Alligator mississippiensis: one gene and its partner. The protein of the gene in region 2 interacts with the protein of the main gene of each other region in a pairwise test. Links are inferred from orthologs where the notes say so. Each region holds a gene or a part of one and is shown on either strand. Other genes may lie near its edges. The genes, in order: MKLN1 and RANBP9.

Evidence for each region.
Region 1: the proteins of RANBP9 (region 2) and MKLN1 interact in a two-hybrid assay, tested with the Homo sapiens proteins (2 studies listed by BioGRID). The link is inferred for Alligator mississippiensis from reciprocal best matches to the Homo sapiens genes RANBP9 and MKLN1.

What each region holds. Positions count from the first base shown.
Region 1 is NC_081827.1:8,994,005-9,004,647, forward strand, and holds the start of MKLN1 (muskelin), read right to left. Parts: upstream 4,936-10,643; 5' UTR 4,921-4,935; coding exon 4,820-4,920; intron 1-4,819. UniProt on the Homo sapiens protein: Component of the CTLH E3 ubiquitin-protein ligase complex that selectively accepts ubiquitin from UBE2H and mediates ubiquitination and subsequent proteasomal degradation of the transcription factor HBP1.
Region 2 is NC_081826.1:127,913,338-127,923,803, forward strand, and holds the start of RANBP9 (ran-binding protein 9), read right to left. Parts: upstream 5,089-10,466; 5' UTR 5,015-5,088; coding exon 4,633-5,014; intron 1-4,632. UniProt on the Homo sapiens protein: May act as scaffolding protein, and as adapter protein to couple membrane receptors to intracellular signaling pathways. Acts as a mediator of cell spreading and actin cytoskeleton rearrangement.

The DNA of each region.
Region 1 (10,643 bases), on a different chromosome or scaffold from region 2:
CCAAGTGGGTACCAAGCAAGACATTTCTAGTATAGAATGGGAAGTATTCATCTCTTGTACACAGCATTTCAGAAGAGGTCTTGTCACTAGAGGCATGTGCAATTTGGGTCATGTTAAAAAAAAAAAAAAAAAATGAATTCAAGCCAGAACAAGTACAGAGAAGGGATACCAAGATGAGAGGATGAGAGGAGCAGGCAACCTGCCTTAAGAGACCAACATGGTCTTCACCCCATCAAAATAAAAGTCAAGAGGAGATACAATTGTTCTCAATAAATTCGCTGAGGACTAAAGAGAAAGGGAAGACCTATCTAAAATAAATGACAATGTCTCTGCAAAAACTAACACAAAAACAGATTAGGAACAGGTTAGAATGGGAATTAAAAGGTTTCTCATTATCTCAGAAGTGAAGTTCTGGATCAGTGTATCAACAGAAATGGTAGGGACATGAAATATGTTTTTAGATGAGCTTGTTTAGTTAATTAAAATAATATGGCACATAACTGCATGCAAATGGTACTCAACCCCAACGGTCCTTCCAGACCCACGTTCATCCACATGTAGTATGTATGGTGCCATTCCGCTAGCCTGAATGCTATTTATAGTGCTTATCACAACGGGGCTTGATCTTTAATTGGAGTCTCCAAATACCAGTGTAGTCCAAGTGTATAATTCTGGAAAATATATACCTTTTTCACATTTCAGTAAGGATTTTTACACACACCATGTGATGCAGAAGGCAGGGTACATTTGCATCTTTAAGGACGAACTAAATCAGAGATGTACAGCATAAACTTTTGTAAGTAGAGAGCTTTCTATTATAAAGTGAATCTTGAGTTTTACTTTATATCTTTCATGAAACTTCTAAGGAGAGGATTTTCCATTTTTATCACCAAAATAGATCTTAGGCGTGAAAGACTCAATTAAAGGATGTTAGCACATGAGAAAGCCCTTTGTTCCCAGGGCTTGAGCCTGCCAACTCTTTGGTAATGCCAGTTTATGTTGGCCCAGGGAACAAGAGATGAAAGTCCAATCCAAGGCATCTTTTACCTTATAAATATCTATTTACCTTGGATATCTATCTATATATATCTAGATATATCTCTCAAGCAATTTAAGAACCACAAAATCACAACTAAGCTTTGACAGTGAAGCTGTTACAGGCTAGAAAAAGACAACCCTACTAGCAGATGACATCAAATGAACATAATCAAAATCAGTCCCTTTTCTACCGTTTATATACACATAAGTGCAACTGTACTTTAAGGGATGTTGTACTTAGTAGCCATGTTGTCTGATACAACAAGAAGTGCAAAACTCTAGGACTCTTGGTTCAGAGATGATACCTTTTATTAAACCAACTAAGAAATTGCAAAAAAGAAAAATAATTTTTGTGCAATTTTTAATTGGTCTAATAAAGGTATCATCACTGCACCTTAGGTAAGTTTTCAGAATTTAATGCTAAACTCAGCTTGGTGCTAGCAAAGGCCATTACAATGCAGTGATAGTTGTGATATGTTATGCAAAATTATGATTTTTTTATTTAGCGTATGTTGTTTAAGCACATGGTTTAAGCTATCTTCAGGCCATGTTATCACCAATGTGAAGAGCTTGAAGACCACCATGTAGCCTTGTAAATGGACCCAAGTCAACAGTCTGAGACATGGTTTGAACTTGTCCACAAGGGCATTTATATTCACTGACCTGAATATTGTTAGCTATATTTGACTGTTGAGAAATTTAGGAAGTGTTTAAGATGCAGGAAATGTCCTGCAGCTGACTGGGAAATACTCTACCAATACAACTACAGCTAAAACCATTTTTAAAAATGGGTCAAAACTCAGATTCAAGAATAGCCAATACATTAGTAAATCTCACCTCAACCAGTGCATCTAAGTGTGAGGGGACAGGGACGGGAAGAAGAGGGGAAGGAGCAGGGAGATCCAAGCTGATCTCAATAGGCTTGCAAGATGGGCAGATGAAAACTTGATGGCATTCAATATGGAGAAATGCAAGATGCTCCTCCTCAGGAATAAAAAGCTGCATCACACTCATAGGCTCCACAATGCTACACTCGCTAGCATCATGACTGGAAGAGGCTTGGGGGTCATGATTGACCACAAGATGAACATGAGCTATCGATGCAATACCACATCTGGCACAATGAACAAAACTCTGGCTTACATCTACCAATGCACCTCAAGCAAGACCCAGGATGTCATCCTCCCACTGTACTTGGCCTTGGTGAGGCTGCAGCTGGAGTACTGCATCCAATTTCAGGCTCCACAATTTAGGAAGGATACAGAGAAGCTTGAAAGAGTTCAGGGGAGAGCCACGCGCATGATCAGAGAGCAAGAGAACAGACTGCGAGCAATGGGACTTCAGCCTGGAGAAGCGCAGGCTCAAGGGTGACTTGGTGGCAGCCTATAAGTACATCAGGGGTGTGCATCAGGATCTTGGGGAACGCCTGTTCACCAGAGCACCCCAGGGAATGACAAGGTCCAATGGTCACAAACTCCTGCAAGACCATTTTAGGCTGGACATAAGGAAAAACTGCTTTACTGTCCAAGCCCCCACAGCCTGGAACAAACTCCCCGCAGAGGTGGTGCAAGCACCTGCTCTGGCCACTGTCAAGAAACATTTGGACATTTTTCTTGCTGGGATCCTTTGGGCAGGGGGCTGGACCGGATGATCTTATGAGATCCCTTCCAGCCCTAATGTCTATGAAATCTATGAGAGAGGGAATGTGTTTTTGCTCACTTAAGGCAATTATCTAAAGCACTATTTGACAGTACAATTCAAGGAGAAAGGATGGGGGGGGGGGGGGGGGGGGGGGGGGGGGAAATCTTAGTCCCTACTAATATTTGTCTAGCAACAACAGAGCTGTGGCAGGCACCGATCTGCTCGCAGCTGACGTGGCCCAAGGTCAATCCTGGTGAAACAGCAGACAGTATTGATTCCCGCTATTAACACTGGCACACTCTTCCCAGCTACATTCAAATAATTCAGTTTTCCTAGTCAGGTAAAACTGAACCATGTTTTAACCATGGTTTGCAGCAATATTTCAGGAAAACATTTTTTTTTTCCTTTTGTCAATACTGGAGACCAAGCCCATTTTTAACAATAGTAAATATCCCATAAGTATCAATCATCTCCACACCAAGAGGATCCACCTACACGTCTGCTTCAAGGGAGGCAAAACAAATCAGCCTGGAGCAAAGGGACAAGACTTCCTCTTTCCTTTTCCAGGTGCGTTTCATATTTAAGCTCTCTCAAACACAGCAGTAGGGAAGCAGTTAGTAGGAAGCAAAGTGACAGCTCCTTAACACAAGGATCACTCAGGCCAAACCTGATTTCCAAGGTGTTTATCAAAGATCTGGAAGAAAGTACATATATTACGGTAGCAACTTTGTCAGAAGGTCAGCAAGGTGAAAACTAACTCAAACAACGGGTCGCTAATACAGAGAAAGCTCAACGAAACACACATTTTAATACGGTCAGCAAGAGGTCAGACACCTACAAACAGCAGCCACATTTACAAGGGGGCCGTGTCCTGGAAAGCGGGGACTCGGGACAGCCTCCAGGATAACCAGCTGAACACAAGGTACTGATCAGCAGGGATCCTGGTTTTCTCTGATTAAGGGAAAAAAAAAATTTTATTTTATATCTATATAGATATATAAATAAAATAAAAATTGTGAAGATATATATATTTATTTACATCTCCACAATTTTCAGATTAAAAAAGTAACCCAAAATCCACATGTGTGTGCAATTAAACCAAAACACTACTGGAGATAGAGATTCATTTTAAAAAAAATCACTCCAAAATGTGGATTTTGGGTTACTTTTTTTTTTTTTTTTTAAATCTGAAAAATTGGGGATTTTTTTTTGGTAAAAGTCAGAGAAATCCAGGATCCCTGCTGATGAGAGGCTGAGGCAAAAAAGGACTAATGGTCTCTTTGGATGGGAAAGAGAGAGAAGCTATTACTTCTGCACGCAGCGGCAATGAGATCAATACTGAACTACACACAACATTTTCTCTCTTCCCTGAAACACTGTGAAAAACCAAACAAGTTTTCAAGACGGGGGCAAGAACCATTCAAGGTCTTTCCCAGCAAAGTGGCTCTGCCAGACACGAGGGCCGCGGCTCCCAAACCCTGACAGACTGCGTGCCGCCAATTTAAAACTGATACAACCTTAAGGACCACCAGCAAATTGCTGTCATATAATTGTAACAAATCTGTTGTCATATAATTATAATAAATGTGTCAACTGGTAGCCGGGTCCTGTGAAGGGCCCAGGGTCGGAAAGGTCAACCCAGCGGTGGCTAATAGGATGTTCCTGAGGTCTTGGCCGTGTCCATCTGGTTTCTTACCAGCAAACCCCCCAAAAAAAACCAAACTGTGAGAGCCGACGTGCCCCCAAGTCCGAACAGGAGAGGACCATGGGCCTTGCGGACGGGGCTGGTTGGGGCACACGTGGGCTTTCCTGCCCGTTGACCCGGCAACGCAACGCAACGCGCGCACAGCGCCACACACCACACCAACTAGGCCCAGTCCCCGCTGGAGCGCGGGGCCGCAGTGACGTCACTGCCGTGACATCATCACCCCCGCCGTGACATCGCGGCCCCCCCAGGCGCCGGGCGGGGGCCGAGCGCGGGGCCGGGACCAGCCCCAAGGCCCTGCAGGGGGGGAGCGCGGCCCGGCACCCGGGCCGGGCCGGGCCGGGCCGGGCCGGGGCGGGGTGAGGTGAGGTGAAGTGAGGTGAGGTGAGGGGCCAGGCCGGGGCCGAGGCGAGGCGGGGCGGGGTCCGCACTCACTCGGGCAGGTAGGTGGAGGAGAAGCTGCTCCAGCGGTGCAGGGCGTAGGACAGCACCCGGCCCGCCGCCCCGCACCCGGCCCCCGCCGCCGCCGCCGCCATCTTGTCCGCGCCGCAGCGCCGGGGGGAGGGGACGGGAGGGGGAGGGGGCTCTTAAAGGGGCCGCGGCCGGGGAGTCTCTCTCACACACACACGAGAGACACGGCTACAGACACACACGGGGATAGGACAAGTTGACAGACACACCACAGACAGACACAACAGTCACACACACGCAGAGGACAGTCAGACACACACACACACACACAGGACAGGACAGTTAGACACACACAGACACGACAGTCAGACACCCCCCACACCCCCACAGACAGACACAACAGTCAGACACGCACGCAGACAGGACAGTCTCACACACACACACACACACCAGTCAGACACACCCCACAGACAGGCACACACACACACAGAGGACAGTCAGACAGACGCACACCTCCAGTCGCACACACACACAGAGGACAGTCGCACACACACACCAGTCAGACACACCCCACAGACACACACACCCCACAGACACACACACACACACACAGAAGACAGTCACACACCAGTCAGACACACCCCACAGACACACAAAAAGAGGACAGTCAGACACACACACACACACACACCAGTCAGACACCCCCCCCCCACACACACACACAGAGGACAGTCACACACCAGTCAGACACACCCCACAGACACACACACCCCACAGACACACACACACACACAGAGGACAGTCACACACCAGTCAGACACACCCCACAGACTCACAAAAAGAGCACAGTCAGACACACACACACACACCAGTCAGACACCCCCCCCCCACACACACACACACAGAGGACAGTCACACACCAGTCAGACACACCCCACAGACACACAGAAAGAGGACAGTCAGACACACACACACACACCAGTCAGACACACACACACACAGGACAGTCAGACACACACACCCACCACAGACGCAGACACTCACCACAAACAAACACACAAGCACACACACATGCACAGAGGACAGGACCTTCGGATGGACACCCAACACACGCCGCACACACCCAGGCAGGCGGGACCGTGCGAGGGACAGACCCTCCCGACCCCCCACACACGCAGGCGGATGGGGCAGTTGCCCCCCCCCGCCCCCCCGGGCTCTGCCAGCGCCTGGTTTCGGGTGCGATCCCCATCACTGGGCAGCACCGGGGCTCCCGAGGCATCTAGTCCAGCCCCAAATCGGAGGCAGGTTCGGAGGCCTCCAGCCCGGCCTGCTCGGGTCCCTTGCGTGGGGCCAGGTCAGCGCCAGGAGGGGGCTGCTCCGGAGGCCCAGGCCACGGCAGCCCCGTGCGACAGAGCTGCACACGCACGGCCTTTCCCCAGACGCGATGCAGCGCACCATGTGCCCTCGTGACACCTCCGGGGAAACCGGACAGATGCCAGGCCCCCGAGCAAAGTCCTACAAGAGAAACAGACGGGATGGAGACACACAGACACCGACGGGAGCGCCCTGTTCACAGCCCGCACCATGCCGGCGCTCCAGGGAAATGGACACAACACCCTCCAAAGGCACACGACGGGCAGCTGGACACAACGGTTCGATCCAGGCCCGATTCCTTCAAGATTTGCATCAAAACAGTTGTCTGTTTTTGTCCTCAGCTGCTTTTCTTCTGTTCATTGTTTGTCCGCTGCTACTTAATACAGTGATTCTCAACCAGGCTGTTGGGCAGGATCCTTTTGCAGTCACATAGCTGGTCCAATAAAAGATACCACCCACAAAGGTCCTCACTTCTCACACAACTGAGCTATGCTCCTCGCTAGACATGGACACTTCATTGTGGCATCCGGGTGGTGCCAGGACAAGGATGGAGCGGAAATCCTGTCTGCCTTGGAGAGCCTGACAGGGACAGCCTGGCTCAGACCTGGTCTGGCCCCTGCTCTGTGGTCTGATTGCATGTCAGCCGAAAGCTCAGCTGACCTGCCCAGCCCAGGGCAGGAAGGAGCAGATGAACAAGTAAAACCATTGAAAGAGCCTTCCCCATCCCCAGGATCGCTCCTCCTCCTCCTCGTCCACTGCTGATTCACAGCTGCTATGGAGCATGGTGCCCTTTCTCTCGCTTTTCGGACGTGCGGGATGGAAAGACTAGCCAGACCATCCTGTTCATCTGTCATTAGCCTGTGCATCATTCTCCCCCATGCTGCAGCTTGAAACCAGCTGTTTTCACTCTTTGGGCGTGTATTTGTACAGCGCCTAGCACCTGGGAGCCCTGGCTCGTGATTGTGGCTTTTCGACACAGCAGTAATAAAAGTAAATAATTACATTTTTACGAGTTGCACACAAGGGACCTCCCACCACTTCCCTTGGGAGTCTACGGAGTGATTTACTCCTGTTGCTAGTAATGCAGATAAATCTTTGCCTTTTTGGGCTGAGAGCATCGGCTTATTTTCTGGACGGAGATAATAGCTCCGTTCGATCATCTCACAAGGCAGCATCGGTAGTGGAGACAAAGTTGAAAGAGTGATCGTAAGGATTTACAGCCAGATGCATTTCCCTGGCAGGGTGATATTCAGCCTGCTCTTTCCCTGTCCTGATCGCAGCCCTTCCTCTGCTCACTTATATCAAATTCTGTCTTTCCACTCCTGTTTTCACCAGCCTTGCTCAGGTCAGTGCATGTTTTCCTCTAGGTTTATTTGTCTTTTTCTCTGCTTTTCTTTCATTCTCTCCAGTTTTCGGTATCTTTCTGGAAACACGCTGCCCTGCATTGAGTGCATTGTGTCGGGTACAATCACACCACACAGCCTTTCACAAAAGATTTTTTTTGCTTCCCTTCTCTTTAATGCAATGTCCATTCATAAGCAGTCACGGTGGCACGGCCTGTTTTGCTTATGACCCTGCCGTCCCGACATTGTCCATCCTGACCATATGTTCCACCATTACTGCCCCCAGCTTTCCCATGTCCATCTGCATTTCAAAGATGTGCCCTCCCCAAACATTAGTTTACCTTTTTCCAAGCCAAGTATAACCTTATAATCCTTACTATCTGATCGACTGTACATGTTTCTAAAACATCTTTTGAGCTGTTACTCTGCCCTGCCCACCCTCTGCATTTGCTCTCTATTTAATGTCATCTGCAACTTTTCTAAAAAGTGCACAGAATTAGGTGTGCAGAATATCTCCTGGGATTAACAAAAATCCCCATACTCTGTAGGTATCTGTGTGGCTTCATGACTGCAGTGTCCAAGGATTTCACAATCGGGAGTGTGCTTTATCCTTATGAAAGCCTGTTTTGCAAGTTTGCCAAGTCTCTCGAGCCCCAGTCCAAAGTCTCTCCACTAGATCATCCAGTCTCCTTAAGCTGCAATGTATTCCAAGTGGATGCAACAGCTAGGAGCATAGAGGGGAGGGTAGATGAGGCACCGGAGGAGATAGAGGGCGAGAAAATGCCGGGTTTTCTGAAAGCGATCCTGTGTGGGCAGCAGCATGTCAAGGTCATCTGAGTACAATAGCTGCTTACCTCAGACTCATCTCATAATGGTTTTGGGATGAACTGAATAAGACTGATACATAATTAGATCATTTGGAACAGATAGAGGGCTTAATTCCTGCCTTTTTCTTCTTTGAAGGCATCCATTTGCATGTCATCTGTTCTTATCTTGAAGCCGATGAGCATGGATTTAATGATGTCATACATTTTGCCTCCTATTCCAGTTTAGACTCATTAAAAGTTATAGCCCAGGATCTCAGAACGAGCATAAAACTGCTAAAAACGGGGGTGTCAGACTCATCTTGTGTCTTGAGCCAGACGTGGCTTATAGGGCACTCCTTGTGCCAGGTCCAGCCCAGGGCATGAGGAAGCAGCAGCAGCTCCGGCTGCAACCAGGAGCTTGCAGCAGCATGACAGTAGCTCCATCTCCAACCCAGGGCATGTGGCAGCAGCTTCAGCCCCACTGCATGCCCTGTGTCAGAGCCAGAGCTGCCACCGTCATGCGCTTCATGCAATGGCAGCAGCTCCAAAATGGGGCAAGTGGCAGGAGCCGGCAGCCAGGGAGACAGGGCCACTTCAATGACAATAAGCAAGGCAGCTGTAGGGCAATCAAAACTGTCAGCCCTCACTAGCCCTCCTGCCGCTGATCACCTTGTCTACCAAGGCCAGAGGACCCTGGAATCTAAGCCAGGCCCCCTGCCCAGAGCCCCCAACTTCCAGTGGTCTGTCGGTGGACAAGACAGAGTGGCCCCATGACCTGGGTCTGCCCTGTGGGATATATGTTTGGCACCCCTGATTTTAAATAACCCCGCTGGTGTCTGCTTGGTGAATCAGGCCTGTTAAATGGGGAGAAATTTTGCATTGTGGACTTGAAGGTGTCAAGAAACACCTTGTGCCTGACCGGCAGGTCTTGCTCCTGCATCAAGGTCAGACAGATTGCCCAATTTGGGGTTAGGAAAAAGAATTGGGGTCAGGTTTAGAAGATGCTTCTGGAGGGCTTTTTTTTTACCTTCCTCTAATACAGGGACCTCAGGAAAAAAATTCCCTGCTCTTGTAGAGACCCAAAGTAATGCTGTTTGTGTCCTCTGCTCTTTGCCTTTGGCACGCTGTAGCAGAGCTTTTAAAGTCTTTGGCTTTTAGGGAGTACTTTGGGGCACCTGGCATGCAGGAGAGACTGACCTAGATGTTCTCGGTGATCCAACCCTAATGTCTATTATACAGCTGGCATGTACACGTTCATTAATGTGCTTTTGCTAATGTACATTAAATTTAGTACCTCCATTGTGAGGTACTAGAACAGGGGCAGGCAAAATGCGGCCCACGGGCAGGTGCAGCCCACCAGGCTATTCTATCCAGCCTGTGGGGCCCCTAAAAAATTTAGAAAATTAATATTCATCTGTCCCTGGCTGCCTGTCATGCACCCCTAGATGGCTTGCCCAAACTCAGTAAGCGGCCCTCTGCATGAAATAACTGCCCACCCCTGTACTAGAAAAAGGATGCATTAGCCTATTTTAACATGCATTAAAAGGGTACGGGGGGGGGGGGGGGTTGTGACACTTTAATGCACATTAAAATAGGCTAATGGGCATTCAAGCATTTGCATACAGGTGCCCAGTAGCCTGCAGTTGTAGGGGACTTGACTCACTGACCCAGGTGGTCCTTTCTGGTTCTGCCTTCCTGTGCTCCTAAATCCTCAACTGATATATAACAGGATAGATAGATAGATCTATTTATCTATCTATTTATATATATATATCAGTGGAAATGTTTCCTCGGTCCATTTACATCAGCTAAGCTATGGCCATTTTATCTCTTAATATTTTGCAGTCAGTATCAATATCTTGCAGTATTCTTCTTTCCTTTTTTTCTTCCTTTCTGAGGTCACTGCCTAGAGAGATCTGTTGGACTGGCATGAGTAGTTAGGGGGCCTGGGGTCACGTGGGTGCTAAGGCACATGTTTGACAACCCAGAGGTTGCACATTTGAAGGCCACAGCAGAAATGCTCATGGCACAGCCCTGTCAGGTTCCAACAAATCGGTGAATACCGCTAAATGCCTCGTCACAAGGACATGAGAAAGGAAATGCACAAGTAGTTGATGAATATTTGTGGTGGGAGTGATTCTGCATCCCTCTCTTATTCCACTTTTCATTCTTTGAAGGCATCTGTTTGCATGTGGTTTATTTTTATCCTGCAGCCCATTGATTGGTGCATAGATTTAATTGTATCATGTGTTTCACCAACAATTCCATTTGGCATCCGTTAAAAGCTGAGCCTAGGGTGCTAGTGAGTCACAAGCTTTTTTAAAA
Region 2 (10,466 bases):
TTTCACTGTTTTCACTAAACAATTGAATCAAATTTCCCAAAAAAGGAGGAGGAGGAAAACATTTTAAAAAATAGGAAAATGTGGTTGCAAATCTATTACTATTATCCAATGATATCCAAACTAAAATGGGTTTGGAAAACTGACTAAATTTCAAGATGCTGTCCTTTTTAAAGATCTCTTTTCTAACCTATAAGGTAGCCTCTAATTTTAAAAATATGCTTATTCTAGATGGTCTGTAGTTACTACTTTGATAGTAAATTCAAAATGCAAGAAATGCAGTCAGTTGGATCTTAAGCATTGCAAGGAGCACCCCATAAAGCCTCCCAACATTTTTCTCTACGTTACCTGAAATAGAAGTTTTCAATAGTAAGACTTTTACAGAGTTTAAGATATAGTCTATAATAGGATGACAATTTTTAAAGTGTGTGAAAGATTAAAGACTAAAAGCCTTTTTTCATCATTAAAAAAGTGTTCTGCAAGAGTCTTACACAGCAATTTCCACTACCTTCCTGTAAATTTTAATTTTACTTCGAAGTCTTTATAAAAACCTGCAATCACTTTGATCAAAGAACTGAGACTAACTCACTTTATAAATAAAAAGTTATTTTAACAGCTGTTAGTGATATTAATTAACTTTTATTAAAAAAATATATCATAAGGTCTTTAGAAACAGAAATTTCCCTCTGAAATTAAATTAGTATTAAAAATAAGCTAAATTTAAACAACATACACTTGAAATAACCAGCTAAAACAGAGATAAGGTAGTGATAATCACAGAAATTATTTTAGTTTTTAAAACCTAATATTAAGGCCCAATGCTATAAACATATAAATGAGTAACTCCATAAACATTAACTAACCTTACTTAAGTCAAAGGGATCTCCTTGGCAAAATTACTGGGATGTATGATCCTGTGTTAGACAAGGTTCCTTGGGTGAATTTGATATCTTTTATTAGACCAACCCAAATGGTTGGAGAATAGTTATTAAGCAAGCTTTCGGGTTCATCCTATGATCCTATGTTATTAATTTGTAAATACATACTTTAGGTAAATATAGTTTAAAATGACTAATGTTATTGGGAAACTGCAGGAATCGGCTAAAAAAATTGAACAGAAACTTAAGTGGATACAGGGGAAAGGTTTTACTCAGACTAAAAATATCAAGACCTGTAAGCAGTTACTCAGTGACTTCAATTTCTGTGATTGCTTTAACTGTACAAAATAGGCCTCTGTATTGCTGCCTTGGCTATATTTGGTACAGTAAAGTAGATCCATCTCGGTTTCTCCAAAATGTTACTGAATGAATTTAAAATGCTCTTGATAAGCTCATATAGGATTATTTCCATCAGAACCCTGTTTTGTCTACTAGACAAATGTGAAGAAGCACCTAGAAGTGGAGATAAAACTAGAAGATTTTTTTAACCCGACATTGGAAGCCACTCAGAAATACCTGTATTTACGGGGGAGGGAAGGGGGGGGATCCCAGCAAAGTCCATTTATTCAAAAATTGTATAAGACTTTTTTGTCTGACATGATGACAGAAGCAAGAGTTCTTTGGCAGTATCTTTACTGGAGAAACTATGTAATTGGGAGAGAGGCAAGACAAGATTTCAGGCACAAAGCACCCAAATAAAGCAGTAGATTCAAATTATTAAGCGATTGGAAAAAACAAAGAACAGGCTACAAACTGAGAAGCAGCTCTTTTGTACAGTAATGTTACAGAAGTATATTAGGATTTCAAGATATTGCATTTCCTTGATTGGGTGGGCAAAATACAGTCTGCAAACTGCATAGTGACATGCATACACATCCACGCATATACACACACGTACGTGTGCATATATATGTGTGCGCACGTGCCTGTGTGCACATGTCTGTATGTCAGCATGCAGTTTGAGGACTGTACATACATACATTTTTTTTTTTTGGATGGTTCACTCAAGTGGTTGCTACCTTTAACTCCAATATGTTGTCAGAAAGACAAACTTAGGACATTTAACTACAGTGGAAGTAAAAAGAAGAAAAAAGGTGGAATGGAAAGGGGAAACAAGCTAGGAAAAAAAAGCACTGATGTTACCAGAAACAGCACTTCCTGTCAGTCACAGATAGGGAGCAACTACCTCCAAAAAAAGCCATTTCTATTATCAGAATGTTGCACGAGCAAAGGAAGCCTGAATAAATGCATCCAAGAATCAACAAGACTAATGGAGTCATTGCTTTTAACATTACCCACTTCTTGACTGGATCTATTTTTCAAGGATGCTGGTGGAAGATCCCACAGATTTCCACCAACAACCCACACATTTGTTTCAAAATCTTTATCAAAAGCAATGCCAATTCCGGTTCTTTTCCTACTGCCCAGATAGCCACAGATGTATTGCCAGTTCCAGCACTTTACAAAATCAGAGAGATTCTGAAAGTTTTCTTCCTGAAGCTGCAGCAGTACCTATCTCCATTAAGATTCAGGATAAAAGGGGAGAAAAGTTCAATTTTTAAGGAGCCATTCACTGCTTTAAACAACAGCATGTTTGCAGTTAGAAGAGGGGCTACCCTTCTAAGACCACCTTTTCTGATCCACATACCTATGTGTTAGTCTGGTAATCTCCAAGTTGACTTACTAAAGAACTAGCCAACATTCCCCCTACATTCTTATTAGGTGAGGCTCCCTTTAGTTGTCACTAATTACTTAAGTGTCCCAGCTTACATAATGTATTTCTATGGCCTCGATCTCTGTAGGCAGTGAACATGTCGGGTAGTCAGCATAGCCAATGTTTAACATTCATTCATAATTTCTTCAAAGAAATTGCAACAAGATGCAGCAATATGGTTTTAACTTTTAGAGACGGGGGGGAGATGACAGGTAAAGCAAGAAAGAAAAAAAAAATCATAAAAATGTACTTTTGTAGGAAGCCAACAGACCAGAACGATTCCTTATTTATTTGTTTTTAGCTCACCATTTTAGAAAATCACAGCAAAACAAGTGAGCAAACTTGGCAGAAAGCTACATGCACGTGATGAAAAACTTAACAGTCAAACTAGATCAACTATAATACACTTCTAAAAATCCCCAGGTCATAAATACCTGAAAAGAAGTCAGGAAATTCAAAGTTTAATATTACACAACATATCTTTCCTTCTTAGGGTCCTCCAGAAGGCCATAATAAGTCATCAACTCTGAATTTACTAGCTTTGCAAGTCTGCAACTTAAATATTATTTGAATGAAGTATTTCATACAATACACACTAGGCCCTGCCTCTTGTAGAATACCTTGCAAAGTACATCAAATCCTTTTACAGCGGCCAAATCCTACCATTTGTATGTTTGTGTTGCCATTTTCCTCCTCTTTGATTAAACAGTAACATGTTTATCAAGATTTCACTTCAATTTCACTACTGTAAACTTAGAGAAAGGGTAATCACAAGGGTTTTCCCCTTCTTCTACATTCGTTTGACTACACTGTGACCAAAGACCTCCCCTTGAAGCCAACTCAGAAGTTGTTTTGATCCGAAGCACTCGGGACTTGGGCCTAGAATACCAGATGTGAGTCTGCGTGCCTGCGTGCGCCCTTTTTTAATAGGTCAGGGTAAACTCATACCCTTATGGCTTCTATGACATGTTCACAACAACCAACACTTACAGCCTCTATTGTTGCTGCCCTACACGAGTATAATATTTTATACCTTTGCTGCTGCCAATTTGACAAGCAAGTCACGGGAAACCACAGCATGAACTGTAATATTCCTTGCTTTACGTCTTAAATCCTAATCTTCCCACTCAAGACCCCTCAGAGGCCTACCCCTGGCTGGATGCCCGGGGGGGGGGGGGGGGGTGCAGGGGGACGGACAGACAGACTCCCTCCCTGCCCCCCCCACTTTTTTTTTTTTTTTTTGCTCTCCTACACACAGAGATGCACCCTCCCTGTGCCTGGCTCCGCAGCATTTCCAGGGGCCTGATCTCACCCATGTCCTCGCTCTCTTCCTAGACAAAAAAAAAGAACGTTTCTGCTTCTGAATTGCTCAGTCTCCTTTCTTCTCCCTCCAGAACCCTTTGCTTAACACAGGCCATTTCTGACTCTTCTACCTTCCCTCTTCTCCTCCCAGGATCTCATGCAGCAAGTGAGTGGGGGGGGGGGGGGGGGGGGGGGGGGAAATGAACTTGAATCACACCCCCCACCCCACTCACACCCATGTAAACTCCTGAGGGGGTGGAATCCCAAGAAGAGCAGACAGGCCTGGCTTCCTGTTATTGTTGTAGTGCTGCTGCCTTCCCTCCCTTCCCCCTACACCCTGGGGGGGGACCCTTCCCACCCCAGAGCAAGGGGCAGTGAGGGAGGGGGAAGGATAGGAAGAGGGGTGCTGGGGGGGTGAGATGGGGGCTGACCAGGGGGAGGGAGATGGGTGCCAAGATGGGAGATAACTGGGAGGGAGGAATGGGTACTGACGGGGAAGAGTAGTGCAGACCAGGTTGGGGGGTGAGATAGGTGCTGATCAGGAGGGGGGTTGCTGATCAGGTCAGGAGGGTGAGATGGGTGCTAATGGAGGGGTTGGGGGGGATGGGGAGGGCTCTGACGGTGAACTGGGGGGTGGGGGAGGGGAGAAGGGGGTGCGGGGCGTGGGGGAGGGGCGCTGACCCTTGTAGTGGACGCGCAGGTTGTTTTGCGAGAGGCCGATGTAGCTGAACTTGTCCTTGGGGCTCCAGGAGCGCGGCAGCGGCGTCTCGCGCTCGTCCACGGCCGGGTAGAGCCGGCGCAGCCGCCGCTTCAGCTCCTTGTCCTGCTCGTTGAGGGCCGCATCGCCGTGCGGGAAGGGCGCCGCCGCGCTGCTCCCCCCCGGCCCGGCCCCGGGCCCCGGCGCGGCGGTGGCTGCAGGCGGCGGCGGGGGCGGCGGCGGCGGGGCCGGGGCGGCGGTGGCGGGCGGCGGCGGTGGTGGCGGGTGCAGGAGCAGCGCGGCGGCCGGGGCCTGCGCGGGGCCGGCGAGGGCCGGGGCCTGCGGGACCTGCTGCTGCCCGGACATCCCAGCCGGGTCTGGGCCGCTGGCTGCGCGGGGCGGGGCGGGGGGCGATGGTTGCAGCCGCGCTCTGACGCGGGGAGGGGGAGGGGCACCGCGGTGCGTCCCGGCTCAGCTGAGCCGCTTCCTGCGGGGGTAGGGGGCGGGGCTTCCGCCGGTGACGTCCGAGGTGTGCGCGAGACTCGGCCCCTCCCCACCCGGCGGGAGGGGTGTGGCTTCCGCTCCTAAGGAGGCTACGGCGTGACCGCGAAACCAGGCGCGAGGCTGCGGCCCCGCCCCCCTGCACTGGGGTCCCCTCTCCTTCTCTCCACACGTACATGGGGAGACACTGGAGGGCTTCTCACTGCCCTGCAGGGAGAGGCGCTTGACCTTCAGGAGGCAACAAGCCCACTCCTAGTCCTAGCCAGGGTTTGGACTACATGGGGCGGGCAATTATTTTGGGCGGAGGGCCGCTTATGGACTTTCCACAAGCCATCGAGGACCGCATGACAGGCAGCCAGGGGCAAATAAATATTAATTTTCTCCATTTTTTAGGGGCCCTGGGGGCCAGATAGAATGGCCTGGCAGGCCACATCTGGCCCACGGGACGCATTTTGACCACCCCTGGATTACACTTTGCCTCAGGGATCTGCACAAAAAATTGGGCTGCCCATCATGATGCCTGAATAAAATCAAAGACACCCCACCCGTTACGATTTTCAAATCTTACAGGGGGGCTCTTGTCTCTTATCTCCCCATAAGACAAGAGCCCCCCTCTAAGATCTGAACATCATAACCTGTGGGGACTCTGATTTTATTAGGCTCAATGCCCCCCCCTTCCGTTCCCCCATCATTTGAACCCTGGCACCTAGGAGAGCTCCTGCCTCCTCTGGACACCTGGAGGTAGCCATTTCCAACCAGGGTGCTGCAGCAAGGTGCCCCACTGCATAGGCTGCGGAACGGGTGGGCCACCAGGGTCATGGCCCGACCAACTTCTAGCATATTAATTTATATAACCCACAAATGCCCAATTGTCATTCCGCTTAAAACTGTATAGCTATTTTTTTTAACTGCATAGCTAGCTAAATTAATGTGCTAAAAGTTGGTTGGGCCATGGCCTGGGTGGTCCACCCATTCCACAGCCAATGCCCCACCACGCCAGCCCTGGTGCACTGGTGGACAGGATTGGCAAGATCAGAGCGCAGGTTTCAAATGGGATTCTGTGGTTCCTGGAGACGCCCGTAATCCCGAGTTCTTTGCCACAGAAAAACAGCCGTGTTATGTTTCTGTAGTCAGGGTGGGAAAAAAGAGTGAAAATGAAGAATGGGCATTTTTCCAGAGGTGCCTCGCATCTCGCCAGGGGGTGCCTTGAAGTCTAAAAAGATGGAGCAGCGCTGCTCTAAGGTGCCACCCTGCCCTGCCTGCTGTCTGACTTCAGACTCAGTCACCTCCCCACCACCTCTGTCTGGGCCTGGGCCAGGGGTGGATCTAGAATTTTGGAAAGGGGGGTGCAGGTGGTGAGGTACATCGTCATGTGTAAAACAACACATATATTTCTCCAGTTAAACTAGAATCTTTTCTAATCCCCTAGGGCAGGGGTTGGCAACCCCCGGTATAGGTGCCAGAGTGTGGCACTCAAAGGCATTTTGCTTTGCACTCCTGCCTTGGGTTGAACAGCAGGGAAGGGGTCGGGCCTGTGCTGCCATAACAAGAATTGGGCCACTTATGGCTCCCCCATTGTCTGCCCTGGCACACAAACATCTTACAAATTGAGGTTGCAGATGTTTTCGGCACTCTGCCCAAAAATGTTGCTGACCCCTGCCCTAGGGGCCTACAGCTATATGACTGAATTTAAGATAGAAGCAAAAACCAGCTTCATTGGAATAATTTTAAAACAGTGTGCAGTGCTGTGAAATAGGAGCTTCATGAGCAGGAGCTGTGAACACACAGCAGAACTGCAGAACAAAGGCGAGCTTGAGTGGTAGAATATCAAGACAATTAAAAAGAAGAAACAGTCATTAACACCTGTGCAATGTAGAGTTTAAAAGGGATCAGGTAGATGATAATGAGCCATGAAGTCAAGTGACTTCCTCATTACTGCCTGACTAGAAATGCTGCTGCCAGGCACAGGTTTTAAGGTTTGGATGGATTAGGAATCAAAGGGGCGTGCAATTGCATCAGTGCCTCCCCTGTGAATGCACATCTGCCTTGAAGTCTAAAGCAGGGGAGAACCACTGCTCTGAAGTGCCACCCTGCACTATCTGCTGCTTGACTTCATTGCTGTGCAGAAAAGGACCTGGGGCTTGCAGTGGACAATAAACTGAATATGAGCCAACAGCGTGACCTTGTTGCAAAGAAGGCTAATGGCATACTGGACTGCATTAATAGGAGCATTGCCAGCAGATCAAGGGAAATTCTTCCTCTGTATTTGGAACTGGCAAGGTCACATCTGAAGTACTATGTCCAGTTCTGGGCCCCCCACTACAGAAAGGATGTGAATAAATTGGAGAGAGTCCAGTACAGGGCAACAAAAATGGTGAGGGGGCTGGGGGGACATGAGTTCTGAGGAAAGGCTGAAAGAACTGGGCTCCTTTAGTCTGGAGGAGAGAATACTGAGAGGGGATTTTATAACAGCTTTCAACTACCTGAAGGGGGGTGTCCAAAGAGGATGGAGCTAGACTGTTTTCAGTGGTGACAGATGACAGAACAAGGAGTAATGGTCTCAAGTTGCAGTAAGGGAAATTTAATTTAGATATTAGGGAACACCTTCTCACTAGGATAGGAGTAAAGCACTGGAACAAGCCACCCAGACAGGTTGTGGAATCTTCATCCTTGGAGGTTTTTAAGACCCAGCTAGACATAGACTTGGCTGGGATTATATAGCTAGGGATAGTCCTTCTTTGAGCAGGTGGTTGAACTAAACGACCTCCTGAGATCCCTCTTGACCCTTCCAACCACTTCCCTATAATTCTATGATTCAGACTAAGACAGCTCCCCACAGAGGGGCCTGAGCATTTTCAGATGTGGTCTCAAAGGGCTGCTATATCTGACAAATTAAACAGCTTCTCTTCTATTTTATTTAATCCACAGTTATTCCAAAGAACATTTCAGACTGTAGGGTTTTGAAAGGAGGAGTCCTTCCAAAGTGTAGTCCTTCCTGGTGGTGACAAAGCACCCCGCAGAGCTGGTTCTCCTTCTCCCTGTTCCCAGCTGCTAAAATTCAGTACGAGACAGATACAGATATATCACATGCACTCCTACTTTTATGCACATGGTTCCCGAGCAGTTGGAACTGGGAAGTAGGAGCCCTAGAAGCAAATCATTATGATTTCACTGAACTAAGTGGCATATGGTGTAATAAAGGTGTGATATTCAAAAATGCTAGCGAGATTGAACAGGATTTCTTGTAGTCATGAGACATGGGTCAGGGTTACTGTTTTGCCCTGACACATGGGAGTAAGTTCCTCCTCCTCCTCATCTTCTTCTTCTTCTTCTTCTTTTTCTTCTTCTTCTCTGGAAATCAAATATAGATCTCTCTCCTGGGCACCAGTTGGCAGCAACAAGTGCCAGGTTCAAATGTCATTGCTCCCTGGGAAGCTGTAAGACACTGATCACCACTTCCTGTGGAGAGGGTGTGACGAGGTGCCTGCAGCTTCAGTCAGCATACTGCACCCCCACAATTCTTAGTCCTAATCACACAGCTCTGCTGGGGCAGCAACCTGCAAAAGAACTCAAAGAGGAGCCAGGCCCATGGGCGTCTGGTGCTGCCTTAGTCAAGGGGGGCATGTGCAAGTAGTCCCGCTGACTGGGTGGAGGCCCCCCCCCCCACGGCTGATCTCACTGCCCGGGCTGGGGGAGTCCCCCCATGGCCAATCCCATGAAGGCTGATCGCTTCAGCCGCTTCCAGGAGTGGCTGCGGCCACTTCTGGGAGCAGCTGCAGTGATCGGCTGGCACTTGCGGGGGGGGGGGGGGGGGAAGGAGTGGGGGAGGGGGCACTGGTGCTCCCGTCTGCCCCCATGCCCATCACCTAAGCAGTGAGCGTGACTGAACAGGGGGTGCACCAGTGCTCTTAGGGGGTGCACATCCATCCCTGTGCACCTCCCTATGCATCACCACTGGTCTAATATGTTCTTAAGGATGGGGATTCCACAGTCTCAGTAGTATATTCCAGTGCTTAACCCCTCTCACAGTTAGAGAGTTGCTGTTACTATCTGTAATGGTAGATTTGTACTTTATAGACTAAATTTGAGATTTGTAAGCTTTCATAAGCATCAGTTTACTTCACCCCTGTGCACCCCCTATGCATTGCCACTGGCCAGGCCTATCCTGCATCGGGGCCTGGACTACAGCTGGTCCCAGCCACACAGCTTAGCTGGGACAAAGAAGCTGCAAAAGCAACAAAAGAACCAGGCTTCAACTCTGACCAAAAACTGCCAGGCTCCAATCCTGGTCAGTTTGCTCCAGGGATTAATACCTCCATGGTATTATCTCACTCAAAACCCAGAAGGAAAAAGGGGGAGGGAAGAAGGAAAGAAGAGCCCCAAACACTAAGACAGATGCTCTCTCCCTTTATCTGAGGTTTCCCCTTCAAATTGCTTCAGCTTGCTTCTCCAGTGAAAGGGAGGGAGACCCTCCCCATGAGGAGCCGTTCTCCTGAGCTTGCATTCAGCTCTGCAGCCTTGCAGCTAGCTGCCTAGCTGAAAGATTGCTATATACCTTGGCATGACATCACCCCAAGTATCCTAATCAGGGTTTGCCATGCTTCCAGCCTCTTTCTTGAGCAATTAATTTAAGAAAAAGAACACTGTCCAGTCTAGCCAATCAGGCTAGGGATCTGATTTTCAAGCTGTACTTGAGGAAGACCAGGCTTTCTGGTCTCAGCATGGGGGGAAGCAGGGGGTCCTAAACCAAAAGGCCACAGATACCAGGACACTGCAGGGGGCTTACCTGTCAACCTCCCCAGACAGCATTCTTCTCCACAGAACACCAAGCAGAGGAGAGGAGACAAGATACAGCAAATACAGAAATCATATACCATGAATGGCACATGGCTCCGGTGGCTGGGGGGCATGGCTGTGCTGGCGATGGTGGAAGCTTGGTGATGGAAGCCTGGCAGCGGTGAGTGGGGAGCCTTTTTGCAGAGGATATACTGCCACATGTACCCCCTACGTGTCGCCCCTGAATAGAGCAAAGCAGACACATATTAAACATGATCATATTCAAGCTAAAGCATACTTTGCAGTACAAAACAATATGCATAGCAACGTGAAACCAAAACACACTTTGCAGTACAAAATTGCTTGTACGTTTTGTGTGTTACATAGTATTGAATTTAAAGGGGAGAAGTGGAGGGGGGGGGGAGGGGGGCAGCTGCAAAGCCTAAGGCAATTAAGTCCTAATAGAAGAGAGAGATCATAAGAAATACCGTGCTGGATGACATCCAAGGTCTGCACAACCAATATCTTTTGACAGTGTTAC